4 linked regions of the Rattus norvegicus genome follow. The protein of the gene in region 1 purifies or fractionates together with the protein of each later gene. This does not show direct contact. Links are inferred from orthologs where the notes say so. Each region holds a gene or a part of one and is shown in the gene's direction. Other genes may lie near its edges. The genes, in order: Map3k5, Map2k3, Daxx and Arrb1.

Region 1 (8,070 bases):
AGAGTCGCTTATAGTCCCATGATCATGAATTGTATATGACTTTATGTTTCTTTCTAAAGACCCTTTTTCGGGGCAGGAGTGATGGCTCATTAGTTAAGAATCCATACTACTCTTGTGCACGATCAGAATTTAGTTCCCAGCACCCACATCGAGCTGTTCACAACCACCTGTAACTCCAGCTCCAGGGGAACTGACACCCACTACTCTTGAAGTTCACCTGCACTCACATGCAAATGCCTGCAGGCAGACAAATAAAACACATCTTAAAATAGAAATTCTTTTTATCTTTTCCCTATTTTTAGAAACTCATGATTGTGATATATTGGTGTCAGATAACATTTTATTTGTCTACCCTACATCTGCCATGGAAAGATTTTGTTAATTGATTTTATAACTTTTTCCCTTTAGAATTTTTTTTAAAAAAGATTTATTTATTTTCTGTATGTGAATACACTGTCGATCTCTTCAGACACACCAGAAGAGGCCATAGGGTCCTATTACAGATGGCTGTGAGCCACCATGTGGTTGCTGGGAATTGAACTCAGGACCTCTGGAAGAGTAGTCAGTGTTCTCCTCAGAAACACAGAGCCATTTCTCCAGTCCCATTCCTTTTAGATTTCTGAATCCTAATCCTGAAGTTAGTTGCATTCCTATGTTGTAAAATACTTGCCCTAATATGTATTAAGCACTCAGTTCCATTCTTAATAGGTATAAAATTTGCCTGGTGTAATGGGGTCCTTGTGTTGACTCTCGGTGTTTTTTTTTTTTTTTTGTTTTTCCTTCCAGACTCATCTAAACAGGGAAATTTAAGAAGCACACGTAAAACAGCCTGGTGATGTCCGGATGTTACCATGCCATTCACTAGAAAATGGACTTGGTGACGGTTTTAAAGGTATTGGAGGGACAGACGAGTCTCCCAGGCTTCCAGTTTGCTTGGGAGTACAATAAAGTTATTAAAAAAGGACGTTATAATTTGGAAACTATCAATAAAATGCTGTAACAAATTTAAGAATTAGGCATTGCTCTGGTCTGACTGTGTCCCTTCCCTCCAGATTCCCCTTACTTAATGCTGTGTTAAGTAAGGCGTTGGGGGAGCTTGACATCAATTTGCATTTTGCCTCTTTTATGTCTTACTAACCTCAAGTTAGGCAATCCAAATCCTTTACGTAGTGCAGCTTGCTTTGGTTTTCCTAAAACGACCTGCAGCATTCCGACAGAGTTCTCTGGGAATTCGCACATCTGGTTTTGCTTCCAAAATAAGCGCGAGCCTTTTTCTTTACATTCAAACAACCCACCCGTTTCTTCTGTGTGTGGTTCAGTTTTTAAAAATGAAATAGATCGACTTCACTGTCTCAACTTTGGATGATAATTTCCCCATGTATTTCCTATCTTGGGTATGTGGCATTTTGCGGGAGGGGTGTCTTTAGGATGCTATATGAGAATATTAAATCATTCAGCACCCTGGAGCCAATCAATTACTCATTAACGACAACAGCGTAAGCAACTGGAAATTTTACAATGAAAAGTACCAGCGGCTGCCACGATAAATTTAGCCAACCACTTCTAAATTTAGCGCCCCTGTCACTTATAAACCACTTTCCACTTAAGGCCTGGGCTGTAGGACGATTGTTGGATCCTCCCGCTTCTCGGCACGCGTGTAGCCACGGGGCTTCCAGCGCCACGCGCGGTCCGAGTGCGCGCTGCCCACCAGCCGACCCGTGCGGGCGAGGCGCCGTGGCTGAGCCCAGCGCTGCAAACGCCTGGCGGGCTGACCCAGACCGTGCGGGTTAGAGACGCTTCTTTCGCGCCGTCCCGCAGCGGGGCGCGCGCGGAGCTTCAGCCTTCTTTCCCGGTTCTCTGAGGTCCCGGAGCAGTGGGTTCGGTCCAGGCTGCAGCTTCCCAGCAGCTCCCTCCCCAGGGGCGGGCCCTGGCTCTCCGTGCAGCAACGAGTGGGCGGCCAGAGGCGGGTAGCCGAGAGGACGGGCGGCTGCGAGACAGTCGCTGGGACTCGGAGGGCGCGGCGAGCCGGTGAAAGAGGAAGGGAAGGAAGGAGGAGACCGAGTCGGTGCAAGGGAGCTGCGGCGGAGCTGAGAGGCGGGTCCTTTCGGGAGCGGCCACCGCGGTTCCGGGACGCGGCCCCGGGGCAGCCCGCCCACCGCGCGTAAGGTGTTCTCCAGGTAGCGCAGCACCCAGAGGGCGCCCTCGCCCGGCCGGCGCTCGGCAAGCGACAGCTTGCGGCTCCCCCAGCGCGGCGCCCTTGAGCCGCCGGGCTGCGCAGGTTGGCCGCCGACTGGTCCGCCCGCCAAGAGGAGGAAGCTCTATCCCTTCCCGCTCGCCGCGGCCGGCGTCCCCACCCCGTGGACTCTCCACCCTGCAGCGGGCGAGCGGCGTGGCCACGGAGGCGCCGAGGAGGGGCGAGCCGCCGCCGGGCAGCGGCGTGGCCCCGGGGGACCGGGCGCCCGAGCGGAGGCGGCGGCGGGGCGGCGAAGGCGCGGCGCGCGATGGCAGCTGCCTAGCCCGGCGCGCTCGGAGCAGCCCGGAGCTGTGGCTGGCCAGACGGTGCGTCAGGACTGGAGACCCCGGGGTCGCCGCCGTGGCAGCTCGGCAGGTAGAGATGGGCACCGAAGCCGGCGAGGGCATCACTTTCTCCGTGCCGCCCATTTTGTCCGCGGGTTTCTGCCCCATCCCGGAGGGCGGCAGCTGCCGGAGGGGAGGAGGAGCGGCGACGGCGGCGGAGGGCGAGCCGAGCCTGCAGCCCTTGCTTATGCCGCCGCCGCCACCACCGCCGGGCAGTTTCTGGAACGTGGAGAGCGCGGCGGCTCCTGGCACCAGCTGCCCTACCACCGCCCCCGGGAGCAGCGCCACCCGAGGCCGGGGCAACTCTGGCAGCGGGGGCGGCCGGCGTACCACCGTGGCGTATGTGATCAACGAGGCGAGCCAGGGGCAGCTGGTGGTGGCGGAGAGCGAGGCCCTGCAGAGCCTGCGGGAGGCGTGCGAGGCGGTGGGCGCCACCCTGGAGACCCTGCATTTCGGGAAGCTGGACTTTGGGGAAACCACCGTGCTGGACCGTTTTTACAACGCTGGTGAGTGGCAGCTCCTTGCGGTGCCCACCGGGTTTCCCCTGGCTGTCTTCGTGGGGGTGGGGCTGGGAGAATATTTTGTTTTGTTTTGTTTTTCGTGGGCGGGAAGCAAGCTTCCTATTTACATCACGCCCCACCTTGGGAGCGGCGAGAGGGGTTGCAGGACTGTTCAGGCCGGCTGCTCCTAGCAGAGGGTGTGCTGGTGCAAGAGGCTGTATTTGGGCAGGAGGTCCGCTGATTTATTCGCTATCCGGCAGTGAAGCCCCTGAGTCTAAGTGCAAGGCTCAAACACCCCCCCCCCCCCCATTGCGAATAACTTCTTCAGTCACTTCTCTTCAGTTAGTGAGTGTATAGTTAGGGTTTCCTTTTGCACACACCTGTGGCCCTCTGAGGTGATGTTCTGTTCGCCGTGCAGTCTTGGGAGTACAGAAACGCCAGCATGCGGCAGGGTTTCCTTTGAGCTTTCAAAGCGTAGCGTGACCTTCCCCAACTCATTTCACCTTGGAGTTTTGGTGGCTTCAGTTTCCCGTCCTCGTTACCACTTTAAACTGTCAAATAACTACATGTTAGAGTAAAAGTACTGTGAAAACACACCAAATGTGTGTGATCTTTGTTAGAGTCTTGCCAAAAGAACCAGTTTTTTTTTTATTACCTCAGATACTGTGGTGGGTGGAAGAGTTTATAGTTTAACATCATTTAAAGAGTTCCTATGCAATTTTAATGACCGATTCGGTTGGCCATTAAAGTGATTGCTAAAGTAATCCACATGGGGAGGGATGGCTCCCCATTTAGTCCATTTCAGATTTCAAAACTGTTAGAGAGTCCTAATGACTGAACCAATTAGCTGTCTGTTAGCAAATGTTGGGAATGGTAGCGTGCTACTGAGATCCAATGGGATCAAGTAAACAGACGTGTTAATTTTTATAATTGTGGTGGGAAACCTGGTTCCATTCTTCAAATACAGTAAGCTTCTTAACATTTGTGATCACGGGTTTTATATTTCAATCTAATTCTCTTACAGCCTCTTCAAAAACACCTGAAGTAGGCTTATGTCTGCTTTGGAATTCAGCCAGAGCTGAATATTTTAAGAACAAGAAGAACTTCATGTTAAGGAAGCCAGACTAAATAAACTAAGACTCTCTGGTTTGGGTATTTTTTTTTTTAAACAGTCTGGGTCTTCATAACTGAACATGAATATAAAATATTATAGCTTGGTTCTTGGGGTGGCTAGCTATAAAAGTTAAATAAACATAGCTTTTCTAAAAATTATAGCACTCTTATTTTTGGATTATAATTTGGAAGAATCTTCAAAGAACCAAATGATAGGAGAGGGGGAAAAAGCCAAATTAAAACTTGAGCTTATTTTTATTGCAATGATAGAGTGGGCTTATTTTTCCTAGGAGCCCCGGGAAAAAAAAAAAAACTTAAACCCTTAGCTAATATGAAGGAAAGTTTCCTAACAAGGCTGTCCTCTGTTACTCTCCAAATACCATCGCTGGGAAAGGGAGAAGCGTTAGAGGCGAGCAGACATTTGAACTCTATCTCACTTAGCCCTGGGACCAGGCCTAGGGCAAGAGTAATATTTACTTATTAGATGAGACTGGCCCTGGGATTCGTAGGCAGTAACTGTCCAGTGCACAGGGCTGATATTAAAAAGATCGCAGGGGCCTTGACTGCCTTTGGGCAGGGTGTCTTTGCTTTTAGAATCAGGGGAAGTACTCTGATTTCAGATCCCAGGATCAAGAGCGGGCAAAGATCTTCAGAGACACTGAGGTGCAGTGGAGGAACAGTGGAGAGGATGTGCTCTTGGGGACTCCCCCATTGGTGGCCATCCTCCCAACCCACTGGATCTTTCAACATATTAAGGCCCGAGTCTAATCTCTGCCCAGCTAGAAGAGATCTTATTCAGCGTGATGCTGTGATGGAATGAAGATGGTGCCAGTTCTCCCCAACCTTTCGTCTTTCTAAACTGAAGGCATTGACTGGGCTTTTGGTAGTAGGCCTACTTGGGTTCTCCCCTGTTGTCTTAGAGAGAGATCGCTCTCCTTCCGCCAACTGCTAGTCAACTGTTGATCAACAGCTTGTCAACTGTTTTGTTTTGTTTCCCGTCAGAGGCCAGATAGCTGAGTATCCGAGACTCTGAAGTCTTTCAGGTTTTTGTCACAGGTTTCCAACTCTGCTGTGAGAACTGCTGCAAACATTCTCTAAAGAGATGATTGTACCGTTGATCGTTTGAGGTCAGTCCTGAGCTAGTTAGTGACTCAAAGGCCACACCGAGCCACACAATGGGACCTCTTTTTCGGAAACAAAAACGGAATCAAGCAAGCAAGAGAGTGTGACCGTAGATAATAAAACTACGGGTAAACGGTGTTCACCTGAAGGTTGGCTAGGCGAATTAGCGGCAGGTCCCTGGGCCTGGCTCTTTCTCTACTTTCTTACCTCACCTGGATTGAATCCCTGTGATACAGTTGGAAGGGCATGGCCCCTCCTGGTGGAGCTGAGTGTTTGCCCAGTTCTGCTCTGGGTCATATTCTCGTGAGAATAGCTTTTTTTTTTTTTTTTTTTTTTGCCTTTCAGTAGAGCTTCTTTATCTGAGAAGTTCACCAGGGCAGAAGTGGAGGGAGAGCAGCATCACGTGTCTGAGGTTGCCCCTGAATCCTGTATGGATTTGTGAAAAGTGAGAAAGCGTGGATACCGTAACAAGATTTTGGGGTCTGTCTCCTGGTTCAGTCTCTTCTGCAATACCGAGTGACTCAATTCATACTTTTAGAGGAGTAGATGATGGCTGGAGCGGTCTGTTCTTTAAAAATGTCAGCGTTATTACTACAAATGACTCAGTGTACTTCATGGAGAATCTTAAGTGCTCCTTTAGGGCCTGTCCTCGGTCCCGAGGAGGTCAGAGTGGGGAGGAAGGGTGGGAACCTGTGACTCGACTGTCACAGAGCCTGTGAGGGTCCCCCGCAGAAGCCAGAGATTTCTAGCACTCAGGGTAGCCTTTTAAAGGTGACCAGAGAAGCCAGATGGGAGAGTAAGCAAGAACAGCCCAATCTGGGGCTTGTTGAGTTATTTCTTCTCCAGTGCTAGGAATCCCACCCCGATGCCTTGTGCGCGCCAGACAGGAGCTCTGCCCCTGGCTGCAGCCCAGAGCCATGAAAGCCATGAAAGGAAGATCAGAGCCCAAGTGGTCCAGCTTAGAGCGAACGACAGAATGAAGAGTGCTGGTATTGTGAGAACGTCTGCTACTCTGTGTACCGGTGTCTTCTGGAGAACACATCGGAGTCAAAGTGTTCCCTGAATTAGGACTTCATTATTATTTACCTTGGCTTGTCTTTTGACGATGTGTGCTGCTTTCCTATTCTGTCAGGTAGAGCTGATTCATGCTTAGTTGATGCCGGTATGAGAAATATTTATGCATCTTAAAGATGCTTACGGCTTTACACATAAGAGAGTGTCACTCAGAGGCGGCAGATAGCCAGCCAAACCACGCACCTGCCCCAAGCCCCACGCATGGTAGGCAGTGACAGTCTGCAAAGGCCACAGGTGCTTTCTGATGGTGTAAGGTACTGCCTCTGTGGGGTTAATGCAGTGGAGCATGACCGTGGACGTCCACACCTCTAGCTTCTATCTCTCAGGTGCTGGGGTAGCACAGGGGATTGACGAGCACTCTTCCGACCGAGCGTCGTTCCCAGTTCTACTTAGTGGGCACTGGCTCTGTGTGCATTGCCGGAGCGGTCTCCGTTATCTCTGTACTTTGCCCCGTGAGAACGCCGGACCACAGTTCTGTGTATTCCTTCAGGTCAACGTGAGATTTTTTTTTTTTTTTTTGGTTCTTTTTTTTTTTTCGGAGCTGGGGACCGAACCCAGGGCCTTGCGCTTCCTAGGTAAGCGCTCTACCACTGAGCTAAGTCCCCAGCCCCTCAACGTGAGATTTTAAGGTGAGCTTCACATCTTTCCACAGAATCAGCTGTTACAGGTAGCCGCAGGTCCTGGAGGTCACCTGTAGGGAAGCCTCGGTAGCCCAAACATGTGGAACCCATTCACTACTTTGAGCATTCAGGAAATGTTTCCGATCCCCTTACACTGGGCTCTCGATACACTTTTCAGTGTACACCAGTACACTTGGCTGCGTCTTGGGCATTGGCGGGAGGAGCTTCTCTCAGCTTTCTCCCTAGCCTTGCCTTCTCATGGCCTGCTGGTGTAAGGCTTAGGGACCTCCCTTGGCTCAAAGCCACCTACCTTCCTCTCGGTGGGCACTGGGTTAGATGGACTGCCCACTTCCCCTTACCTTGCCACCAGTCATTATTGCATCTTTGGGGCCTTCCTCTTAGGCTGACTCACTGCAGATTACAATCTCTGACTCCGTCTTTCACGAGGCGGCGGCGGCAGTAGTGGGGAGCCGGAAGGAAGTGTGTGCTAGTTGAAGTTTTCATCCGTGGTGTTGTGCTTTCAATGGAGTGGAGTTTGTGCTGAGAGCAGCCCTTGTGTGGCTTAGCCAGGGGGGCGTCTGACGAGCCTCTGTTTTGCCTCATTTGCCTCTGCCCCACCTCCTTAGGACTTCCAGTGTTCTTAGGCAAAATAAAACATGATCCTTTCTTTACCTGTCTGCCCTAGACTGAGTCCTTGAAAGTCTTGCTGCTGCTGACTTCTGCATTTCTGCTTTCAAGTCCAGCTCGGACTCAGGCTGTAAGGATCGTCCTGTGCTTTGAGGAAGAGGATGGAGTGATGAAGTGTATATTCTTAATGCACTGGTCGTTCCCATGAACCAGTTTAAAAAAAAAAACAAAAGCAAAAGCAAAAATCCCAAAAAACTCAAGAGAACTGAAATGGAAATGTGTTTGCCAACACTCTATTTCTCTAATTAAGGATATTATAACATAAAGAAAGAAAGACTTAATATAATGTTCTTAAAAAGGAAAGATACTTTTAGACTAAAAGAATTAGATGGGAAGGGATGGGCAGGATGGCTCAGTGGGTAAAGCACAACGCTTTG
Region 2 (7,916 bases), on another chromosome or scaffold:
GCTCAGAAGAGGACTGTGGTACATTTTAATGAGAGCAGGGGCAGCAAAAGGCAGGTGACGGTGTCATGATCTGCCAGACTGGAGTTTGAAAAACAGCCCTGTCACACTGCACTGGTCCTGTGCGTGTGCAGGTATCAGTCTCTGCCTTCCTCCCTCTCTCCCTCTCTCTTTCTTTTTTTTCTCTCTTTGTCTCTGCCAGCCTCTGCCTCCAACTGCTGGGATTAAAGGTGTGTGCCACCACTGCCTGGCAATCCTCTGCTCTCTATTCTGCTCTGTGTTCGTGAAAATGTGCACCTCCTTGGGAAGCGTGTGCTCCAAGTGTTCAGTGAGCACCTACTGTGCACCTTGGAGGCCAGTAGCCAAGTGTGGTGCAGCTCCCTACAGCTTGCCTCAGCAGGAGTTTGCATGAAGGACTAACATACAGTAGGTAGGGCTGTAAAAGTGGCACTTGCTATTGTACAGGTAGTGTCATGTTACACGTATGGAATTATCATGCAATGTTTCAAAATGGTGGCCACTTAATTTAAATACAGCAGGTGAAAAAATTCTTACTAAGAGGTAAGTATCCCCTGTGTTGTTTCACATGGCAGAGAAAGGAGGGTAGGAAGGCATCAGATGAAGAAAGGGAAGGACATTCCTGGCTGAGGGAACAGCCTTTGAAAAGACAGGATCAAGAAGGAAAGCTTGGTTTTGAAGTGTCTGATATGTCAACAGGGCCAGAAGGTTGGAAATTCCTACCTAGGGAACCAGGAAAGGTCTGAACTTGGCCAGCCCCATTAGGAAAGCTCTTTGCAGCATTGTGGAGCATCTGCAGCAATTAGCATGGAGGTGAGAAAGGTGGATAGCAGGAAAGCACAGATGGTATCAGTTTATCCCGAGCCAGGCACCCACACAGCACAGCCACGATAGTCACTTGAAGGCACCCACACCAGGTCAGCAAGCCTCGGAGGCTCTGCAGATGGCAGGGCACTGCACACACAATCAGGGCTGTGCATGACCGCTGTGCCTGTCAACAGGCCTGCCTCTGTGCAGCCATGCTAAATGCATACAAACACTGTGCATCTCATGGGAATTCATGTGTGCTTGGGGTGTATGACCAGTGCAAGGGGTGAAGATTAACAGCATTTGGAAGGGCTGCATCTAAGAGAGTCTCTCACCTCTGATCGTACCAGCGGTGACACTAGCTTGGGGTTTTCTCCCTGTCTTGGAAATGCTTATCCTTTGTTTTTGTTTCTTCAAGTCTCTGCTTCTGTGGCACCTTTAGGGAGGCTCTTCCTGAATGCTGTCACTACAATCACACTCCCACCTCTGGACACACTGCCTCTTTCCTTTTTCCCCCACAGCATTTGTCAACCCGAGACACACTATCATTTAACCTAGGTTGGAAGTCCATTCCTTTCTGAGAGCAGAGTTGTATCTGTTTTGTTCATTGTTGATCCTAATGAGTGAGTTGCTCCCCCAAACCCCAGGTGTGGATCACCCCCTTTCTTCAACTCACAGTCACATGCTAACACTGAGCCCTTCCCATTTCAAACTTCAGTTTTCCATAGAGGGGGTTTGCTCTCCTGGGAGTCAGGGTAAGAGGCAGCTTTCTGGGATCTGAGTCTAATGCTCTGGCCAGTGTCTAGGTGGTCATGTACTCCCCCGGCCTAACTGTGCCACTTAGGGACAGGAGGGTAGCAGATGTTGCCAAAGGTGATCAGAAAGAAAAAAGTTTGGTGGCTTTCCGTCATGCCCCTCATTCTAGCAGCTGACCGGCTTGCAGGTGTAGCCTAACCTGGCTTCCTGAGCAGATTTCCACTCCCTGGGCTGACCTTTCCGTTTCTTCCAAGGATGGTTTCTGACCTCTCTTCCTGGCTACTAGTCCATGAAGGTCACCTTCCCTGACCCCACCCAGGTGAGGTAGGGCCTCTTCTTAGGACTCTTGTATCTATTTATAGCACCCCAATGGAGTCTGTGATCCCTGGGCTGTTTGTCAAGTTCTCTGACTAACCCATTAAACTCCTCCTGTTTTGAGGGCCTTGTCTGAGTCACCCTGGTGCCTGGGAGGCTGGCACGGGACTAGAGTCACTTTACCCATGTCTGTGGCATGCTTTTCCTACTTCCTTTGTTCATTCCTTGAATAGTTCTTAGGCACCTACTATGTGCATGGCTCTGGGCTAAGCCTTGGGATACAGCAGGGGATGAGACATTCAGGATTCTTAATGGGGAGGGGCAGGTGACACGGGAAGAGGACTATAGTAGAAACCAAATATGCAAGCAAGGCATTCGGGGCCTGAGTGTTGGCCAGAGAGCTAAGACTTACTCGAGCTCTCGAGCTCTGACTGACTACTTGACTTTGTGCTTCTTGCCTTCACTAGACCTAGGTTTCTAACTGACCCCAGAGATTTCTGGCTAGTGTGAGGACAGAGGTTCAGCGACCAACTGCCGAGATGGAACCCCAGTCAAGGCTGGCCAAAGGTATTTCAATGTTTGGAATGACACTTTGTTTAATCTGAGACTATCCGGGGGCCCAGGACGTAGAGCTGCTATAATGTTACAACCAAAACAGTTACTTTGTCACTAGGCAAAGGTTAGCCACTGAATTCCCTGCTCCCTAGGTGCTGGCGTGCCAAGTGCTCTCAGAGACTGGACTTAAACGCGTGCTCGTTCAGCAAGGTGCAGTAAACTCTTTCCCACAGTCGGTGAACACTCACCTGGCACGCGCCCGCCGTGGGATCGCTCTTTTCCTGCTGCCCTAGGAGGCAAGCCGGTGGTCGCCGCTCTCTTCAGGGGAGCACATGGACGCTCACCCTCGGTATGGCTCAGCCATTTAGGAGTCCAGTCTCACTCAGGGAGCACTTTTAACCCCACCGAGTGCATCGGCCTGGCTCCGCACTCTAGAGAGTTTGGGATTTTCCAGATTACGACCGGCACACGCTGCGCCGTAGGGGGGCACAGGCTGGGGCACCCAGGACCACGCCAGCACAATCCCGCGAGTGGGTAGGGCTGTCATCTTGATGGCAAGAGGGCGGAGCCGGGCTGGACTAGAAAAGTGGGGGTTTGGATTCCGGCTGTTGGATGGTGGGGTTTGTACGTGACAGTCCGGGCGGTGTTTGATAGGCTGGGGCCTTTTCAGGCGGGCCAATCAGTACGATGGGCGGGGCCTACGTGGCGCCGTCGGTAGGCGTCCGGCGCTGCCCAGTGTGGCTGTGGCGCCGCCCGCCTCGGACGCTTGGAACTGTCGCGTCTGTGTCGCCTGTCGCCCATCGCCTGCCGCCGCTGCCAGCCACCAGCAACCATGAGCGCGCCCGGCCCCGGTGTAGTCTGCTGTCCTCTAGATTAGTGCTCTCCTCCGCGACGGTCCGCAGCATGGAGTCGCCCGCCGCCAGCCCGCCGGCCAGCTTGCCTCAGACCAAAGGTAGGCTCTCCCGCCCTACCGCGCGGCCCGAGCCACATTCAATTTGAGCCCGCCCGTGCCCCTGGACTCCTTTCCCGGCTGGGCACAGGCACCCGGACTCCAGCCCAGGACTGGGTCCAGCCCAAGCCAAGCCCGGGACCTCACGGGACCTCATTGGAATTCGGATCTTAGGCCGTGGGATTTCACCCAGGCAGGACCTTGTTCTCCTTACTCCACTCCAAGTCTGGAGCCGCACCGTGAGCTTCTTTCTTGTCCAGGCTTCCGGGCTTCATCCTGGACTCAGCTGGGATTTCTGTGATCCCTGCTAGAGGGTCTTTCGGCTGCACTAACCCCCTCAGGCCAGACTCTTGGATTTTGTTCAGGCTGGAATTTACTCTCTTCTGGGCCCCAGGGCTGTGTTCCCAATGCAGGAAACCTGTCTACTCTTGAATTCAGAACTCCTCTCTTCCAACTCTTTCCATCCTTGTGAGTCCTCCTTTGCCCCATGCCTTGCTGGCCTGCACACTGGCCGCCTGCACTCCTCCCTACCGCTGTACCTGTAGAACTTCCTGGCGTCTCCACTTCGCAGCTCAGCCCATGCTACCTGCTACTTGTTGACTCAGTTGCAATCTTCTCACTGAGTTTTAGGAGCTGACCTCTTTTTTGCACCTAGTGTTTCTTAGTCTGTTGCTCTTAGACCTGCAGTTTGGTCCTTGGGCAAACAGCAGGCCAGGGGCTGACTGTACAAGGCTTGGGCTTGTCTTCTCCAAGTAACTAACTGTCTTTCCTGGAAATTTCTGTGAGGTGGCAGTAGAGCTGCGTGGGCTGCAGCAGCAGCATTTGTCATGGGAAGTGAGGGGGACAAGATTTGGAGGTCAGAAAGCTTTTTTTTTTTTTCCAGGAAGAGAGAAGGATGTTTTAACATGTCAGAGACTCAGTAGGTTGGGCTGCAGAAAAGAGTTCCAAGCTGGACTGTAGATGTGAATGGGTTGACCCTCTGCATCCTGGGCTGCCTCACCTGGCTAGTTTCTGGACATGTCTAGGCCTTATTAATGAAATGGATATCAGGGGTGCGATGTGAGATTGAAGGTAGAGTGATTTGAAGCAAGCATGTCTGAGATGATCAAGGGCCCAACATAGCACCCGGCACATAGTAGGTACCCAGGGGAAAAATAGTTGCTGCACATCCTTGACTGTTTCCAGCTTTCTCAGCCCTGTGGGGTCTGGGCTCAGATTTGGATTGCAGGGGCAGAGCACAGAGGACAGGAATGGTGGGCACTTAAGAGGGTGCTTGTGCAGTGGTAGCCTTCTCTCCTTCTGACTTAGGAAACCTTGACCTCAGGAGTCCTAGTCCTGGTCAGGTTGTCCTGAGCAGGTGGGGGCTTTTTGGGTCCCCTGCAGCTGGCCGCCATGGCTGTGCAGGAGCCTAGTGGGCGGGGTAATTGCGTCTTACATAAGTGGGAGGCCAGATCCCTGACCATTGCCCAACTTCTGTGAGTAACTAGGGAGGCACTTATTGGGGGAGGTGGCTGGGGAGGGACTTGCAGTGCAGACCTCGTGGAACTTGAGAACCAGGAAATCAGATGCTGCTCCACTCAGGAAGGGTTTGGAAGCAGTGTTTGTTTTGGAGGCATTTCAGCTCTTCCAGGCAAAGAGATGCCTCATCAAAATAAAAGTTGCAGTTGCAAATCACAGGGGGAGAGATTGTGAGTGACATTGCAAAGCACTGTGCAGGGAGACGGTGGACTTTTCATGTGCTCGATTGACTTGAGGCCTGGCACTGGATGCCCGGGGCCTCTCTTCTGAGAGGGCTAGTGTGAATTTGCAGGTTGTAGGTTAGGTAACATGATATTGGATGGATTGGGCGGAGGTCCTTTCCAAGGCCCAAGATCCCTGTAGCCTTTTAGGGGTTTGGAGATAGCTGTAGTGAGGGACTGACAATATCCACTTGCTAAAGTTCCAAGAGCTTTTCCTTTTCTTTTTGCCATTGCTTTGTTTGTTACTCATTTGCCTGTGAACAGAGGCTCAGGAACACTAACCATTTACAGAGGCTACACAGCTATGATGGCCCAGCAGAGCTACAGCAGGACTCAATGATGATCTCCCCAGTGTTCCTTCCATTCCCATTCCCATGTGAGGTGCTTAGGGGGTCCATGGGACACTGGTACCCTGGCCCCCTGGCCATCACCCCTATGTTCACTGGACCATGGAGTCTGCTGAAGCAGAGGACCACTTATTGTGCACGCAGTCTTACAAGTGGACACTTCCCTCAATGTGAGCCTGCAACAGATGCAAAGTGGAGAACTTGGCGAGTCCACACCATTATGGATCCTGACAGGAACTCTTTTCCACCTTTGCAGGCGACTTAATTAAAAAAAAATCACACACACACACACACACACACACACACACACACACACACACATGCATACATACATGCCACAGCATAGCACATGTATGGGGTCAGTATACTTTGTGGGTGTCAGTTCTCTCAGTTCAGCCATGTGGATTAGCCCTCCATCATGTGGGTTTCAGGAATGGAACTTAGGTTGTCCAGGCTTGACAGTAAGTACTCTTACCTGCTGGGCCATCTTGCTAGCCTGTTTGCAGAGGACTTTGAACAGAGTAGGGAGTGGTAGCACCTGACCTTTGGCGGGGACTGCAACTTTATCTATGAACTTCCCACTGGACGGTTGTGCCTGCTGTTTGTGCCCGAGCCTAGGAAGTTCTCCCACATGTGTGAGGCATGTAGGTCCCACAACTTGGTTGGCTTCTCTTGTCTCCTTGCTCATTAGTGGGTCACTGCCTGCCATCTGAGGCCAAGGGCAGCTAGTACAGGGGCACATGTAGTCAGGGTGATCTGGGTTTGCATGACATGTTTGTCCTTGTACATATTGTCAGGGATGGCCTTTGGCATTCTACTGGAGGTGTCACCTCTGGAGCTCATTGGTGGCTGGTGTCTCTGGCAGCCCGGGGAAGCTGGGGAGCACTGAATGTCTTGTCCTGGTCCTGCCTGCTATGGTTAGAGCTTTCCTCCTGTCCTGGGAGTTGGAAAGACTAGAGGGTGGCACCTTGGGGACTTCCCCCAGTCCTGGTGTGACGCACAGGAAACTCTCTATCAGCCAGCCTGTGGCTCAGGGCCTGAAGGCAGTAAAGTTCCCAGTCAGCCTGTGTGGGGAGAGGCAGCCAGGCTTCCGGTGGGTGAGTCAGCAGGCGCTGTATGCTGACTCACCACAGGCATGCCAGTCACTGCCTATAGCTTAAAGGGGCAATGCCAGGCAGGGGTTACATACCTCCACCTGTAGGCTGCCCCTGTCCTGGGCTGGATACCACAGGTGGTCTGCTCTGGACTTTCCGTTAAGCTGGGATTCTGGGCAGATCCTCCTGTCCTGTCCAGGAACTTCCTCTGTTAGGTAAACGACTCTTGCTTCCTCTTGCTCACCACATAAGAGCTGTTGTTGACTGCCCCTGGCCCAGGGAACAAGACCTGGTGAAAGCCAGGAGCAGTGGCCTTGCAGGGTCAGCTAGCTTGAACTGCCTAGGGTCAGATCCCTACTTTGCCCATTTTGCAATGTAACGTTGAACAAATTGTATCCAGTACAGTCTTGATACTTTGTATAGGTTTCAGTCCTGTGAGTATGGGGCATCTTTCAGAGAAGAAGCCGAAATGCGCCCCCTCCAACCCCAGCCTAACCCCCAGCAAAATGAGCATGGGTGTGTTGCCTGTTTGGATGCAGATGGTCTTTATCCAGTGAATAGGTGTCAGGTTCTGGGCATTGTAGCTATGTTATAATGGGCCTAGGATCCCATCCTGGCTCTTACTTCCTCATCTGGTCAAATGGCATATCCTCTTTGACTCTCAGTCCTGTTCTGGGCAGTGGGAGGAAGCACCTCTTCCCTGCAGGGTGGTAGTAAAGATGGGAGATAGTGTTTCCCAAACAAATGGCATCTGTCATTATTTAATTGTTGGGATTGTGGCTGTTTCTCATTGGGAGGTGAATACATGGCCTCTGATGATGTACTCATGGGATTTGTGACACAAGGCTTCTTTGGTCAGAAAGCCACAGTTTGCCAGCCTCTAGGACAACCTTCCTAATGCTGCAACCCTTTAACATAGTTCCTTATGTTGTGGTGACCCCCGGCATCCAATTATTTTCATTGCTATTTCATAACTGCAGTTTTGCTACTGTTATGAATTGTAATGTAAATAAATATCTGTGTTTTCCAATGGTCTTAGGCAACCCTTGTGAAAGGATTGTTTGTCCCTAAAGGCGTCTCAGCCTCGGAAAGAGAGCTCTCGGCTCTCTTTCGCCTCTGCTTCCTAAGCTGTAAGCTACCATTGTTGCCTGAACCCCCTGAGGAAATCAAGAAGGGGAGCAGAGACCTGAGGTAGTTGGTCCTTTCTGCAGATCTGTCCCTGTCCCTCAGCTTTGTTGACTAGTGGCATTGAAAGCATAAGTGAGGGAAGCTTGGGAGATGTAGGGCCGGCCTGGGATAGAATCTCCTGGGCTAGTTTCTCAGGTGGTAGAATTTCATC
Region 3 (7,110 bases), on another chromosome or scaffold:
AGTGTACTCATATATAGAATACATCTTTTTAAGAAAAGGATGTGGGGGTTGGGGATTTAGCTCAGTGGTAGAGTGCTTGCCTAGGAAGCGCAAGGCCCTGGGTTCGGTCCCCAGCTCCGAAAAAAAGAACCAAAAAAAAAAAAAAAGAAAAAAAGAAAAGGATGTGAACCATTATGATGTGATTGGGCAGATCCCAAGGAAAGGGGTGTTTGATTGGCTGATTGTTCTGGCTTCCTCACTGATTCCCTCTTTTTTTTTTTTTTTTGGTTTTTTGGTTTTCCCGTCCCTTCCCCCGAACCGTTTAGTTCCTTGAACTGTGTAAGATGCAGACATCGGACCACCCTGAGGTGGTTCCGTTCCTCCACAAACTGCAGCAGCGTGCTCAGTCCGCTTTTCTGGCCTCTGCAGAGTTCCGCAACATCCTCTCCAGGGTTCTGTCTCGGTCTCGGAACCGGCCAGCGAAGCTCTACGTCTACATTAACGAGCTCTGCACTGTCCTTAAAGCTCATTCCATCAAGAAGAAGTTGAACTTAGCTCCCGCAGCCTCAGCGGAATCATCGGGTGATAACCCTCCCACAGATCCCCCGTCTGACCTTACAAACACCGAAACCACTGCCTCTGAGGCCTCAAGGACTCGAGGCTCCCGGAGGCAGATCCAGCGCTTGGAGCAGCTGCTGGCACTGTATGTCGCAGAGATACAGCGGCTGCAGGAAAAGGAGTTGGATCTGTCAGAACTGGATGATCCCGACTCCTCCTATTTGCAGGAGGCCCGCTTGAAGCGGAAACTGATCCGCCTCTTTGGGCGGCTGTGCGAGTTGAAGGACTGCTCTTCTCTGACTGGGAGGGTCATAGAGCAGCGAATTCCTTACCGAGGCACTCGATACCCAGAGGTCAACAGGCGCATCGAGCGGCTCATCAACAAGCCGGGGCCTGACACGTTTCCGGACTATGGAGATGTGCTGAGAGCGGTGGAGAAGGCGGCGACCCGGCACAGTCTGGGCCTTCCCAGACAGCAGCTTCAGCTCCTGGCTCAGGATGCCTTCCGGGATGTGGGTGTCAGGTTACAGGAGCGCCGCCACCTGGATCTCATCTATAACTTTGGCTGCCACCTCACAGATGACTATAGGCCAGGTAGGAAGCTCCTGGGATGATTTCAGGTGGAACAGAGGCAGCTCTAATCCCTTCTAGGATTGGGACTGACTGCTCTGACCCTGTTTCCCCACACAGGCGTTGACCCCGCACTCACCGATCCCACATTGGCTCGCCGCCTTCGGGAGAATCGAACCTTGGCCATGAGCCGGCTGGATGAGGTCATCTCCAAGTATGCCATGATGCAAGACAAGAGTGAGGAGGGGGAGAGACAGAAGAGACGGGCCCGGCTCTTAGCCACTTCCCAATCTTCAGACCTCCCCAAAGCCTCCTCGGATTCCGGTGAGGTATGGAAGGGTTGTCATCTGTCAGAGAAATCTTGTCTGCACCCTGCACTGCCACCAGGGACCCCCTGGTGACTCCTGGAGCAGCGTATGGAAGCAGGGAAAGAAGATTAGTGACGTGCTTGGGTAGCACTAGTAAGGTCCCAGAGTCAAGTCCTCATACTACCAAAAACCTGTGTGGCAAGGGATTCCTTAAGAGGGACTCCTCTTTCCCCCAGGGTCCTAGTGGAGTGGCATCCCAGGAGGACCCTACTACCCCCAAGGCTGAGACCGAGGATGAGGAAGACGATGAGGAAAGTGATGATGAAGAGGAGGAAGAGGAAGAGGAGGAGGAGGAGGCCACCGAAGATGAAGATGAGGATTTAGAACAGTTGCAGGAGGATCAGGATGATGAAGAGGAGGAGGAAGGAGGTATATGCATAACCGGAGCGCCCCTGTGGTAGAGGTTCTGCTCTGTCCGACATGACCTCCTTGTTGATCCTGTCCTTCCTCCTCCTCCCTGCACAGCCCCCCGACCCCTGTTCCTCTCTCCACCCCTGTTCCTCATTCCACCCCCCCTTTTCTTTTCCAGATAATGAAGACGATAAAAGTCCCACATCCCCTTCGCCCATTTTCCGCAGAAGGAACTCAGCACCCACAGAAGGGCTCAGGTCCCCGGAGGAGCAGCAGGAGAGAGGACTGACGGGGACGCCAGCATCCCCGCTGGAAGCATCCCCGGGCCTTCCCAGCACCGATGCTGAAAGCAGCGGCGAGCAGCTCCAGGAGCGGCTCCTGGCAGGAGAGAGTCCCGTGTCCCAGCTTTCTGAGCTAGACATGGAAGCTCTGCCTGAGGAGACCATCCCTTCCCCTGAGGAAAGGGGCATTTCCTCTTCCAGGAGAAAGTCAGACAGTTCCCTCCCCACCATCTTGGAAAATGGGGCAGCTATGGTTACCTCTACGTCCTTCAATGGGCGTGTCTCTTCTCACCCTTGTCGAGATGCCAGTCCCCCAAGCAAGAGATTTCGGAAGGAAAAGAAGCAACTGGGACCTGGGCCGTTAGAAAACAGGTAACGTCGGGTGAGGAAGAAGGCAGGCAAGGAGGCAGGATTCCCTGAAGGGAACCTGGTGTCCTAGGTCTCCCTGCGGCCTCAGGCCCCTTCTGTCATTTCTCTTCTGTCCTTAGCTATGTAAAAAAGCAGACGATGGCACAGCAGGACAGTGGGTGGAAGATAAGTGTCCTGTCTACTCCGTCCTCCCCCTTGGCCTCTGTGGGTCCTGTTGCTGATTCCTCCACGAGGGTGGACTCTCCCAGCCATGAGCTGGTAACCAGCTCCCTGTGCAACCCTTCTCCATCCCTGATACTCCAGACTCCCCAGTCTCAGTCTCCCCGGCCTTGTATTTATAAGGTAAGCTGGGGGGGGTTCCCCTGTCAGTTCATTTTCACCTTCTCACTCTCTGTGGGGGCTGCACCTCCTCTTTTTTCCCCCATTCGCCAGTGGGTAGTGCGTGCATGTGTGTACAGTGACAGTTTTGGAATTTTGGTTTCTTAAAACTCAGAGCTGGATAGTGGTGACACATGCCTTTGATCCTGGGAGGCAGAGGCAGGAGGATCTCTTGAGTTTGAGGCCAGCCCGGTTTACAAAGTGAGTTCTAGGACAGCCAGGGCTACACAGATAAACTGTGTCTAAACCCCAAAACCAACCAAAAACAGTGAAAGAGCTGGCTTTCATTTTAATCCCCAGTGTGGGGATGTGGGGCTGCTCCCAACTGATCACTGTGGCTGAATGTGACTCACTTTGAGCTCAGCAGAGCTGTGGCTTTGCCAGCTACAGGCAGTTGCTTTGGTTGTGTGAACATGATGGTTAGGAATTGTGGAACTTTTCAAGAGAGCGTAGAAATGGTAGACACCACCCCACCACCACCCCACCTCCTCCAAGAGGCATGGTGTGAGCTCAGGGGTTGGTTGTGGTATGTTAGTCTTGCTCAAAGAAGAGAGAAATTAGATTCAGAGATCCCTATCTCTCCCCTCTATCCTTCTTTCCTATCTAGTGATGGGGTAGATAAAGGGGAGGAAAAAACCCACAAAGTCTCAAAGACTGACTGTCTATGTGTGTTTAGATGTATTTTGCCCGGCATAGTGGTTTATTCCTGTAGCCCCAGCATCCAGGTGGCAGAGGCATACAGATGTCTATAACTTGAGTGCCACAGTCTAGTCTACTGAATGAGCTCCAGGACAGTCAGGGTTACATAGGCCGTGTAAAACAAAAAGTGATTTATTGTATGTAACTAGGTGTTCTGTTGGTATGTATGTGTGTTACATTTGTGTCTGGTGCTCATGGAGGCCAGAAGAGGGCGCCTGATCCTCTAGATCTGGAGTTACAGAGACAGCACTAAGTAGCCATGTGAGTCTTGGATACAGAACACAGGTCTCCTGCAGAGCAGCAGTGTGTCTAGTGGCCAAGCCATCTTCAGCCTTCCATCCTGCTTTGTTTTGTTTTTGAGACAGGGTCTCTATGTATCCGACTGTTCCAGAACTCTGTATATAACAAGGCTGGCCCCAGTCTCAGAGATGCCTGCCTCTGCCTCCTGAGTGCTGGAACTAAAGGCGTGGGCCATCATGCCTGGTTCACCCTTCCTTCTCTCCTGACTTGTCTGCAGACGAGTGTGGCCACCCAGTGCGATCCCGAGGAGATCATCGTGCTCTCAGACTCTGATTAGCAGTCCCTGCATCCAGAAGGGTTTCTAATGGCTGTTAGAAGATGACGGAGCAAATGATGGACAGAGCTCCTCCCGTTTTGGTGGTGTTTCTTTTGACAAAAAATCAGATGTTTTAAGTTTTACACAGACACATTAATAAACAATGAATTTCTTTTCTTATTGTATTCTTTTCTTAAATTGTCTTTCTCCTATGACAGCTGTCACCTGGATCTGCCCTTTCTAGCCTGGACCTCTTTTTAGGGTGCCCTCATCCTTACCCTTCTTTGAGCCTCCCTCTAGGCACTTGGAAAGATAAGTGCTTCAGAAGCCTTCTTAAGCCGCTTTACTTTCTTATTTTGAGCGGTATGAGTGAAAAGGCCAATCAGGGGCTGACTCAAGGTTATTTGACCAATCCTGGCCCGGAGGAAGAGGGCGGGGCTTCAGGGGTTCTGTCATACGCTGGGAAAAGGGCTGTTAGATCCCGCGAGCGAGCTAATGTCCAGGGCTCGGGGTGGAGCCTGAGGAGCGGAAGCCAGTACTGGTCAATGGGAAAAGGTAGGCTTGCAGGATTAAAGGGGAGCGAAGGCTTCGGCCAAATCAATTCCTGAGTCCTTAGCCGCAGATGGGACCCGGTACCTTTAAGGAGGAATGAAGAGCCGGTCCTTTAAAGGGAAAGTGTTGGTGTCGGTCGAATTTTCCCCAGCGGCACAGGAGGGGTGCTGTCCTGCGCCTTTAAGGTCGCTGGTCGGGGAGGAGGAGTGGAGGCGGAGGGCGGAGGGAGTCGGCACAAGATGGCGGCGGGAGGGGCTGGGGCTGCGGCTCTGGTCGCCGAGTGAGGGGGGGCCCGGGGGCGCGCGGCCAGGTAAGCGGGGGCGCGCGGGGCTGGGGGCCCCCTCAGGCCGGGGGACAGTCCAAGGACGCGATTGGGGAGGAGTGGGGGGCGGGGTTCGGGGGGCGGGGGCAAACACGAGGCGGGGTCGGGGATCTAGGGGGCGGAGCCCTGGAGGGTCCTGAAGGGGCGGAGTCGGGGAATTAACTGGGGGCTGTCGGGGGAGGAGCTTGAAAACTGTGGAGGACACCCCTTCGCCCCAAGAAAATTGGTACGTAACACCAAGGAGAGGCGGTTTTTTTTTTTTTTTTTTTTTTAAGTGAGGCTCGGGGGCAGCTGTAGACAAGGATAGACACCCATTCCCTGAGAGCCCCCTATTTTCTGACCTAGGAAAGAGTACTAAACTTGGAGTTGGAATACTTTCTCTGCTAGCGCTGAGGTTTGATTTGATGTCGTTTGGTAGGTGTACTTGGATGTTTTTCTTGATTAATTCTGGGCCTCAGTTGCCCCATCTGTCCCATGGGGTTGAGAGGTGTACCTATTTATCTCAGTGATTTTTCTTTTTTTTTATACTGTGATGGTCTATGTCTTTTCAAAATGCTGTATTATTCTCTTTTTTTTCCCCCTAGAGACCCCCCCGGCCGCCCTCTTCTTTCCTTTGTTCCTGTGGCTGGGGGGGTATCTCCTTCCACAACATGGAGCCATCTCCTATGTCACCCAGTGGGGCCACACTCCCACTGCCTCTGTCACTGGCTCCACCACCACTGCCTCTGCCGGCAGCTGCAGTGGTACACGTGTCCTTCCCTGAGGTGACCAGTGCCCTCCTGGAGTCCCTCAACCAGCAGCGGCTCCAGGGTCAGCTCTGCGATGTGTCTATCCGCGTGCAGGGACGGGAGTTCCGTGCTCACAGGGCCGTCTTGGCTGCCTCCTCTCCTTACTTCCACGACCAGGTCCTACTCAAAGGCATGACTTCCATCTCACTGCCCAGCGTCATGGACCCAGGCGCTTTTGAGACTGTCCTGGCCTCAGCGTACACGGGCCGCCTCAGCATGGCTGCTGCGGACATTGTCAACTTCCTCACAGTGGGGTCGGTCCTCCAGATGTGGCACATTGTGGATAAGTGCACTGAACTCCTTCGGGAGGGTCGATCTTCAGCCGCTACTACCACTGTCACTGCTGTTGCAGCCCCCTCTGTCTCTGTCCCTTGTGCCAGTGTCCCATCAGGGAGCGGGGGCACCGTTGCCCCTGCCACTGTAGGCTCTGTACGTTCCCATACCTCCAGCCGGGCCAGTGAGAATCAGTCTCCCAGCAGTAGCAACTACTTCAGCCCCCGGGAGTCGACTGATTTCTCCTCTTCCTCCCAAGATGCATTTGTGGCCTCAGCAGTGGGTAGTGGGAACCGTCGAGATGGTGGCCCCGTGTTCCCAGTCCCTGTGGTTGGCAGTGCGGGTACCACCTCTGGGAAGTTGCTGCTAGAGGCCGATGAGCTATGTGATGACGGTGGGGATGGGAGAGGGGCGGCGGCCCCTGGGGCTGGGCTCCGGAGGCCCAACTGCCTGCCTGCCAGTGCAGTGCCACAGAAACACTGGGTGTATGTGAAGCGAGCTAGAAATTGCCCTGCACCAGCATCGCTGGTCCACCAAGACCCCGATCTAGAGGATGAGGAAGAGGAGGAAGATCTGGTGTTGACTTGTGAGGATGACGAGGATGAAGACCTGGGGAATGGCTCTGGGGTTCCTGCAGGGGGAGAGCCCGAGGCTACCCTCAGTATCAGTGACGTTCGGACCTTGACGGAGCCTGCAGAAAAGGGGGAGGAACAGGTGAACTTCTGTGAATCCTCCAATGACTTTGGCCCCTATGAGGGTGGTGGCGCTGGGGCAGGACTTGATGACCCTGGAGGCCCCACCCCTTCCTCCTATGGCCTCACCCACCCTCCACGACCCCTTCTTCCATTGGATGTGCCAGGCAACCAGATCTTGGTTTTCCCATCCTCCTCCTCGCAGGCTCCAGGCCAGCCACCAGGGAACACAGCAGAACACGGGGCAGTGACCCTAGGGGGTGCCTCTGCGGTGGGTCTGGGCATACCAAGTGGCTCTGGGGGGACCCCCGGAGGGGCAGGCAACAGCGACGGGAATAAGATCTTTCTTTGCCACTGTGGGAAGGCTTTCTCAC
Region 4 (8,057 bases), about 150 Mb from region 1:
CACATTCCCAGTGTGACAGAGGGCCTCTGTATAGAGGAACTCACTCTGTAGACCAAGCTGACCTCGATCTCACAGAGATCTGCCTGCCTCTGCCTCCTGGGTGCTGGAACTGAAGGCGAGCGCCATCCTGGCCAACTTGCCAGTGTGCTCTTTTTGCTTCACGCTTACTGTTGAAAGATGTGAACCCAGACTCCTGTTGCAGCCACCGTGCTGTGCTCTGCCATCATGAATTCTTATCCCTCTGGAACCATAAGCGGAAGTTGTCTTTTCCTTCAGCTACCTCGGGCACGGTGCTTTTAGAGCCACAGGAAATTGTAATACAGCCTCCAAGTATGGCTGCAAGTCCTTTCCTCTCCACGACCTCAGCCACAGCTCTAGTCCCAACCATTGTAGTAGCAGGACACTGTACCAGTGGGGCATCCAGCCTCTGTCCTTACCCTTCCCGTGTCATCTCTATCGAGCAATGTGCAGCACAGTCTTGGAGAAAGGGAAGCCGGGGCTATTCTCAGCAGGTATGTCCAGGCTCTTGACATCAGGACCCAGTACTGTCCTCTACAAAGGTCACACACCAGAAATGCTTTGTCTAATCACACAAAAATCTTGTCATGTTTTAAAGCACTTTCTGTTTTCGTGTTGGGCCACATTCATGGCTGTTCTTGGCTGCGTGTGGCCCATGGGCAAAGGTTAGACACACTGAAGCCCTAAACCCTCTTCTTACATTGGCTTCCTGTGTACCTCACCCCTAACCGAGAGACATGTGTCATCTGACTGCCGCCTGCCTTAACTGCAACCACTCTGCCTGTTTACCAAGCCCAGACACACCCTCTTGGTTCCTTGCTGGTCCTTTGGCTGGCAGCCCTTCGAGTCACTGGCTTCTTGGTGCAGGTTTCTGCCCAAAGGTCACCTCTTTGAAGAATCTTATCTAAGGACATTAGTCCCAGCCACTATGTTTTATCTTTCATGACACTTATTACTAAAACCGGATTGTTGACATGGAGTTCTCATGACCTCTACTGCAGTTTTATTAATCTTGATCATTGAGTGAATATATGAGTGCTTTCCTTAGGCCTGACAGATGAAAGTGCCCCCTTAAGGACCCCTCTGCCCCCCATTCTAGACCCCTCTCTCCACTGAAAGCTCTGTCCTGCTTGACACCGCTCTGTAAATCCCCCAGAATCACAACTGGCATAAGAAACAATTAAACAACAACAACAATAATAAAACAATAACAACAACAGCAGTGGCAGCAACAAAAAACAGCCAAATTCTGGCTCTGGGTTTGCTTTCTGTTGAGGAAAGCTGGGGAAAAGAGAGGCCAAGGTCAAGAAGAGGCTGTGGGGGACTGGAGAGACGGCTTGGCTGGTTAAGAGCACCAGCTGCTCTTCCAAAGGTCCTGAGTTCAATTCCCAGCAACCATGTGGTGGCTTAAAGCTCTCTCCAGGGAGTTCTGATGCCCTCTTCTTACATGCAGGTATAGATGCAGATAAAGCACTCATATAAATAAAATTAAAAAAAGAAAAAAGCAGGAGGCTGCGGATTTGGGCAAGCCAGTTTAGCTTCTCCAAGCACCAGTTTGGTTATTCATTTTAGAAAAGGTAACAGAGCATTTAGCTCATAGAGTTGCAAGTGCCAAGTAGCACCAGGCACACCACCCACCCTCATGGGGTTTACAGGCTACAGAGGATGCACTTGACACCTTGTGTGTTGATACCACCATCTACCAATCTGTTCAGTGTTCCTCGGTGTTAGAGCCATGCTTTCCAAAGCTGGTCCAGGAAGAGCTGCGTGGAGGCGGGGGCTACCTGGAGCCATCTGGTGCATCTTTCTGGGCTGTTTGTTTACTGAGAAGTAATCGAAAACATTGTTTGTTATAATAACATAACCACAGATACTTACTAAGTAGAATGAAGAGTTTGCCTGAATGTGCATTGAGCATCTGGGCTCTGTACTGAGACCATCAGGCTTGCATGAAGCCTGTGTGGAGAATATAAGACCAGGCCTCTTGATGTTGAGCTCACAAAGTGATCTTCTTGCTATCAACAGAGGATCCTATTCTGTTCCTTTCAAGATCCCCCCACAACCCCTTGCAGAAGGATCTGGTAGCTTCCTGTTCTGCCCTGGTTGGAGCAAGGGAAGATCCCAGAGGCTAAGAAAGGGCAGGTGAAGTTACAGACCGTAATCCATTTTCACTTAGCTCTTACCATTGCCCAGATGTGGACCACCCTGCCTATCCATTAGCCTCTACCCACCCCTCCCCAATCTGGACATAATTATAGTCGTTATCCTGGGATATTATTACCAACTCTATAAACAGCACACTCTATGTAAACAGCATAGGTAACTCTTCTGAACATAATTACAGGAGATGTTTCCAGACCCGCAATTGCATCAGAGTAAATGATAGCTTCCTTTCCTATCGTTAATACTCCGATATTAGGGACCTATCAGTGCCAATTAGTCAAACCCCAGCAGCAAGCGGCTGAGAAAGACCTTACATTCTCCCACTTCCTGCAAAGCAAGAAGGAACCCCTTAAGATCCCTTCCAGGAGAAAATGGATTAAAATCCAGAACCCTTTCCTACCCCTCCTTAGCCTCTGGACTCCACCCTCCCACTGCACACCTGCTACTTCCACAGGGGTAGGAAACTTGGGGAAAGTCAAGATTTCAAGGATAGCAAGAAAGCTGCAGACAGTAAGCTCTGCTGGACACCACTGTGTGCAGGTGCCTGCCGGCAAGAACAAGTGAATTCCTTCACCTATAGAACAGGGCATCTGCTGGTCTTAGGACCCAGCCAGTAGATCTGGAATGGGCTGAGATGGCTGATGTCTAGAGTCATTGCAGGCAAGTAAACTAGGCCTGGGTGCTAGCAATGATGCTGGATGCTCCGGTCACCAGCTAGTTGGCTCTTGGTCCCTGCTTTATCTTCTGTTCTCACAGCTTCCTCTTTCTGCCTGCCCCTCCCCTCCTCTTTCCACTCTCATCTGCTCTCCAGCATTGCAGTCCGCTGCCCGCCCCCACCCCTTCTTCCTGTCCCCGCTGTGCCGTTGGGTGGTATCTCTCCAGAAGGGCGGGGGCGGGGAGGGTGGAGCAAAGGGCGAAGGCCTGGCTAGGCTTTTGGAATCTTTTGCTGTGTTCACACACAGGGGCGCCGCTGAGGCTGGGCCTTGGAGTCTGCGGATTTTCCGCTTGCATCTATCCGCAGACACAAAGGCCAGTCCTGGCTTGCGCGGGAGAGCGCGCTTGCACCCACGATTGTGAGCACACACGCACAACTGCACAAAGACGTGCTATCTCTGCACACACACACACACACACACATACACACACACACAATCTCTCTCTCTACCCCTCCCCCCTTCTCCCGACAGGCTCGCGCGCACAGCCGTGCACACGCACCAGCACTGGCACGCGCTTGCGTGCACGCACTCTCGTGGACCAGCCGCGGCCGGCCACCCAGCCCTCACTCTCTGGGCGCGCACACGCAGAGCGGCGCACGGAGCCACACACGCGCGCTCACACCCGCACGCTCCACGCCCCTGGCGGCGGCCGGGGCGCTGTGCTGCTCGAGCGACGGGCGGGGACCCGGGCGGGGGCGGCGGCGGCGACAGCGGAGGAGGCGGAGCGGGGTAGCCGGGAGCGGGCTGGCCCGCGCTTCTCCTGGCGGCCGGGGATTTTCCAGCCTGGACGCTGACGCCGCGGACCTCCCTGCGGCCGCCGCGGACCATGGGCGACAAAGGGACACGGTGAGTGCGGGTGGCCGCCCTGTCCCGCGTGCGCGTGGGGACGACCTGGGCGAGGGCACGGGCGGAGGTTCCAATCAGCGTCACCCGGGATCTGGCACTCTGTTGTCCGCCCAAGTCTCTTGTGTGGTCTCTGGCCAGAACCATGTGTAAGGACGGAGGCACCCAGGATGGGCCACCCCACTTGGTTCAAGGCTCCTGGCCGAGACGAGCTCACACAACCAGCCCTGGCTGGTCGGTAGACTCGAGGACGTTCTGGGGCAGGCTGACACACGACACACACACTCATAAACACATGAACACCCTTCTGCTGGCACACACTGACAGTCGCTGCCACACTTCGCATTTGTGACACGACAACGTCACACGCGGTCTCTCACGCACACACTAGTCTGCCAACACATTCCTGCTGTCAGTACTGTTAGCATACACAGGTCCCACTGGAACACGCACCAGCTCTAACACACCTCGTGTTGCCACGCACATCTGGGCATACACCAACATACGTATCCTGTCACCTGGATGCTGCAAAGCACGGTCTGGCTAGTGCTTGCAGTCTGTCAACCCTCTCTGAAATGACACGATGCAGCCACAGGTCTTAGTGACACATCAAGGCCAATCACGCACATGCACAGCAGAAAATGCCTGCAGGGCCTGACATCTCTAGGGCAGTGGATACACTTCACTTCTGACTCCCCATGGCCAGACCAGAAACACAGGTCAGAGTGGGAGACTTTGAGACCTGGAAGGCAGGTCCCATTCACATGCTTTCCTTCCCCTCTGACCTCCAAAGCACATAGCTAGGGGCTACATCTAGCTGGGGATGGTGGTGGTGAGGGAAACTGTTTTTGTAGATCCTGCCTTGAAAGGAAAGGTTAGGCCCTCGAAATGGAAACTAGGTCAAAGTAGGAAGGCTAGGGAGGGGCAGGGAAGCTCTTGGGGTCAATCCTTATGACCTAGACCAGCCCTAGTCAACTTAGAGTTTACCTTCCTGGCCCTTGAGAGTCTCCTTGCCGCCCTTCCTGGCCCCTCCTCTAGTCTTCCTGCACCTGCTTTTTATCACTGCTTTCCTTATTACTCTTATGTTTGTGTTCTTCTCTCTGCCTTCACTTCCTTTCCTCTGATATTTATTTATTAAGCCCCTGTTGTATACTAGGCATAGCCTCGGTGATGAGAGATGATCAGAAAGGAAGCATCCCTGCAGTCACATGTTGGGGCCCTTAAACAAACTGGTTTTTTGCCCACTGACCCCAGAGCCTTTCAGCAGTGAGTGAAAGGGGCTACAGAGGTTATTCCCATTTCCCAGGAGTAGAAATTGAGGCATAGTGCTAACTCAGATTCCTCATGTTTAGAAACTACCTCCCACCAGCCTCCCTATTGATGGCCCTTCCTGGAGGTTAATTTTCCTATTCTGGTTTCCCCAAAGAGGAACTGAAGGGTGAGAAAGGTCACTTGCCTTGCTGAAGGTCAGGAAGGGGCAGAGGCCACAGCCCACTGTATCTTGTGGCTCTCCTTGGGGCCCTGGGTGTAAAGACTAGCAAGGGACTCACTTGGTGCAGAGGCACAGCTTTGGGAGACTGCGGACAGCCATGAGGTGTTTGCATTCACCTTGAGGGCCAATGCAGCTGGCTGGTCAGCATCGTGACCCAGGCTTCAGTCCTTGGAGGAAAGATGCTTGGATGCATCTCTCTTCAGCCACACCCATCCCCCTCCCCGCTTTGAGACTCTCTGGAACTGTAAGGTTGAGCTTTGCTCCCTGTGAGGCACGGCAGGGAGTCAGCAGCCACTGACTTCTCCTTTGTTCTCCAGTGCTGCTGGTGACCAGGGTGACTCAGCCATGCTGGGCCTCTCTGTAACTAGGGGAGAAGTGTCACAGATTCCTGATACCTTGAATTGTCATAGGAGGAGGACACTCTGGCTGCCAGACACCTGTTGGAGAATCCTGAGGCCACAGCTTTGTCCTTGACTCCCCTGCTGTGCTTCTAACTCAAGGGCAGACCCAGTATTCCCATCTGTACATTGGAGCCATTAGAACTTTGGTTTTCATGGCTCCCAAAAGCTTACTGAGCTCACTGGACATAGGAGTAGGAGTTGCCTATGCCAGGAAATACAGACTAGCTACACAAACTCCACCTGTCCGTGTTTGCCTCCCCTCCCTGGGCCCCTCTAGAGCCATGAATTCTGCCTTTCTCTTTCTAGATCTGTCTGGATATGAAAGGTAAGAAGCTTTCTCCATTGTGTTACATTGGCCATGAGATTTTGCTTTGAGACCTGGAAGGGACATTGCAAATACTCAATACTCTTAGGCTCTGGAGTCATCACATCTATTCCTGTCGGTTGGAGGAAGTGATAATGAACGTTAATCAAAACTGTCACTGCCCTTGCAGAAACCCCTGGGTTGAGAGGAGGCCCAGGGCAGAGCAAGCTAGCACCAACAGGGGTCCAATGAGCACAGGTCATGAAAGAGTGGCTTCTTTGTAGCCTGGGGCAGGAGTTCCCAGAGCTGAATCCCCAGACTATCCATTCCCAGGTGATGGTGGTACACGACACAATCACTTTGGGAGGTGGAAGAGGCATCCACACCAGAGCTGAGCTGGATGTGACCCGAAACTGTTCTGGGTAGTCAAAGCAGCTGAGATTGACCTAGAAGCTTGAGGAGGCTGAGCAGTGGAACTGCAACCAGTGCCCTGCCAGCCCAGGGTGCAGAATGTACAAGGACCGGGAGGTGGGAAGAGAAGCCTGGGGGTGGGGCCTGCGAGAGGAACACAGGCCAGTCATCCCCAGCCCTGGGAAGGTCAGGCTAAGGCAACAGGATTTTTCTTCCATTGCCAGGATCAGCTGGGAGAAGAGGGTGGAGAATGGAGGACAAGAACAAGTCTTCCTCTCAGACAGGTGCTTAAGACAGTGGCCAGCAGAGGGAGGAGCTGGCCTTGAGGCAGAGACACTCTAGGAAGGAGCCTCAGAACCAAGGCCGTGGCTCAGAACTAAGGCTGATCAATAGCATATGATCAAGGAAGTGGGGGTCAGCAAGCTAGATGGCTGAATGCATCTCTGCTGCCTCTCTGGGCTTAGAATTATGTTCACAGGGGCTGGGGAGATGACTCCAGTAAAATGCTTGCTGCCTAAGCCTGAGGCCATGAATTAGCATCTTCAGACCCCACATAAAAAGTTGAGCATAGTGGGCTCTAACCCTACTGCTGGGGGTGGGGATAAAGGGAAAGGAGGGAAAGGGATGTGCAGACAGGCATGTTTCTGGAGCTCTCTGGCCAGCCAGTCTAGCACTCACAGTGAGAGATTCTGTCTCAAAACATAGAGAGCGTTGGAAGAAGATACCTGATAGTAACTTTTGCCCTCTATATGTGCATGAACATGCATGTGCATGCACATCAGCACACATACAAGAAGTGTATGCATAGTCTCACTGGATTCTTTCCGCAATTTAGCAGCATAGGAATTGCTGTTCCCATTTTTTTTTAAAATATTTATTTATTTATATATAAGCACACTGTAGCTGTCTTCAGACACACCAGAAGAGGGCATCAGATCTCATTACAGATGGTTGTGAGCCACCATGTGGTTGCTGGGATTTGAACTGAGGACCTCTGGAAGAGCAGTCAGTGCTCTTAACCACTGAGCCATCTCTCCAGCCCTGCTGTTCCCATTTTAAAGGTATGGAAAGAGGAGGCAAGTCTACCACCGTTCAGCCAGTTAGCATCTGAACAAAGGTCCCTCTGCCCATCAAGGCCTCTCTGTTGCTGTATAAGTCTACTCAGAGGGAAAGGGGCTTGTCCTATCTACAGCTGACCTTTCAACTGCTCCCAGCTGGTCCTCCAACTCTAAAAGTGACCAGGGTCATCTTGAGGCAACTGGAGGGATGGAGTGGAATTTCCTTTGCAGCAGATGTTGATGAACTCTCTCTCTCTCTCTCTCTCTCTCTCTCTCACACACACACACACACACACACACACACACACACACACACACACACACACACACACTATACACCCCTCTTCCCCACAGCCCCATCTCAGGGACGGAGGATGCTGTAATGAGGCAATCACCAGCTCTCTGTGAACCTTGGCTGTCTTTCTTGAAGTGGTTAAGCCCTGGGTGACCCATCTTGGCTAGAACATGGGGAAGTCCTGTGGCTTTGGCAAGATTGCTCCTGGGTTGCTGCTGGGCGTGGCTGTGAGCCTGGCCTAGTGTCCCTGAATCCCAGCTGGCTGCTGGGCTGCAGACTCCTTTGATGGCTTGTTTCCTTTCAAGTCTGGACCTCCTAGCCAGAGACTGAAACCTCTAGTTGGCATGGGGTCAGGG

Evidence for each region.
Region 2: the proteins of Map3k5 (region 1) and Map2k3 purify together in Homo sapiens (co-immunoprecipitation; 4 studies listed by BioGRID and IntAct, with this or other methods). This does not show direct contact. The link is inferred for Rattus norvegicus from reciprocal best matches to the Homo sapiens genes MAP3K5 and MAP2K3.
Region 3: the proteins of Map3k5 (region 1) and Daxx purify together in Homo sapiens (affinity purification with western blotting; 7 studies listed by BioGRID and IntAct, with this or other methods). This does not show direct contact. The link is inferred for Rattus norvegicus from reciprocal best matches to the Homo sapiens genes MAP3K5 and DAXX.
Region 4: the proteins of Map3k5 (region 1) and Arrb1 purify together in Homo sapiens (affinity purification with western blotting; 3 studies listed by BioGRID and IntAct, with this or other methods). This does not show direct contact. The link is inferred for Rattus norvegicus from reciprocal best matches to the Homo sapiens genes MAP3K5 and ARRB1.

What each region holds. Positions count from the first base shown.
Region 1 is NC_086019.1:16,503,350-16,511,419, forward strand, and holds the start of Map3k5 (mitogen-activated protein kinase kinase kinase 5), read left to right. Parts: upstream 1-2,614; coding exon 2,615-3,083; intron 3,084-8,070. UniProt on the Homo sapiens protein: Serine/threonine kinase which acts as an essential component of the MAP kinase signal transduction pathway. Plays an important role in the cascades of cellular responses evoked by changes in the environment.
Region 2 is NC_086028.1:46,104,450-46,112,365, forward strand, and holds the start of Map2k3 (dual specificity mitogen-activated protein kinase kinase 3), read left to right. Parts: upstream 1-3,189; 5' UTR 3,190-3,351; coding exon 3,352-3,400; intron 3,401-7,916. UniProt on the Homo sapiens protein: Dual specificity kinase. Is activated by cytokines and environmental stress in vivo. Catalyzes the concomitant phosphorylation of a threonine and a tyrosine residue in the MAP kinase p38.
Region 3 is NC_086038.1:4,969,157-4,976,266, reverse strand, and holds the end of Daxx (death domain-associated protein 6), read left to right. Parts: intron 1-305; coding exon 306-1,131; intron 1,132-1,227; coding exon 1,228-1,436; intron 1,437-1,651; coding exon 1,652-1,844; intron 1,845-2,004; coding exon 2,005-2,479; intron 2,480-2,595; coding exon 2,596-2,818; intron 2,819-3,918; coding exon of another isoform or gene 3,919-4,002; exon of another isoform or gene 4,003-4,070; coding exon 4,071-4,130; 3' UTR 4,131-4,294; downstream 4,295-7,110. Other genes in the region: Zbtb22 (zinc finger and BTB domain-containing protein 22), read left to right, coding at 5,634-7,110. UniProt on the Homo sapiens protein: Transcription corepressor known to repress transcriptional potential of several sumoylated transcription factors. Down-regulates basal and activated transcription.
Region 4 is NC_086019.1:163,246,525-163,254,581, forward strand, and holds the start of Arrb1 (beta-arrestin-1), read left to right. Parts: upstream 1-3,691; 5' UTR 3,692-3,723; coding exon 3,724-3,743; intron 3,744-8,057. UniProt on the Homo sapiens protein: Functions in regulating agonist-mediated G-protein coupled receptor (GPCR) signaling by mediating both receptor desensitization and resensitization processes.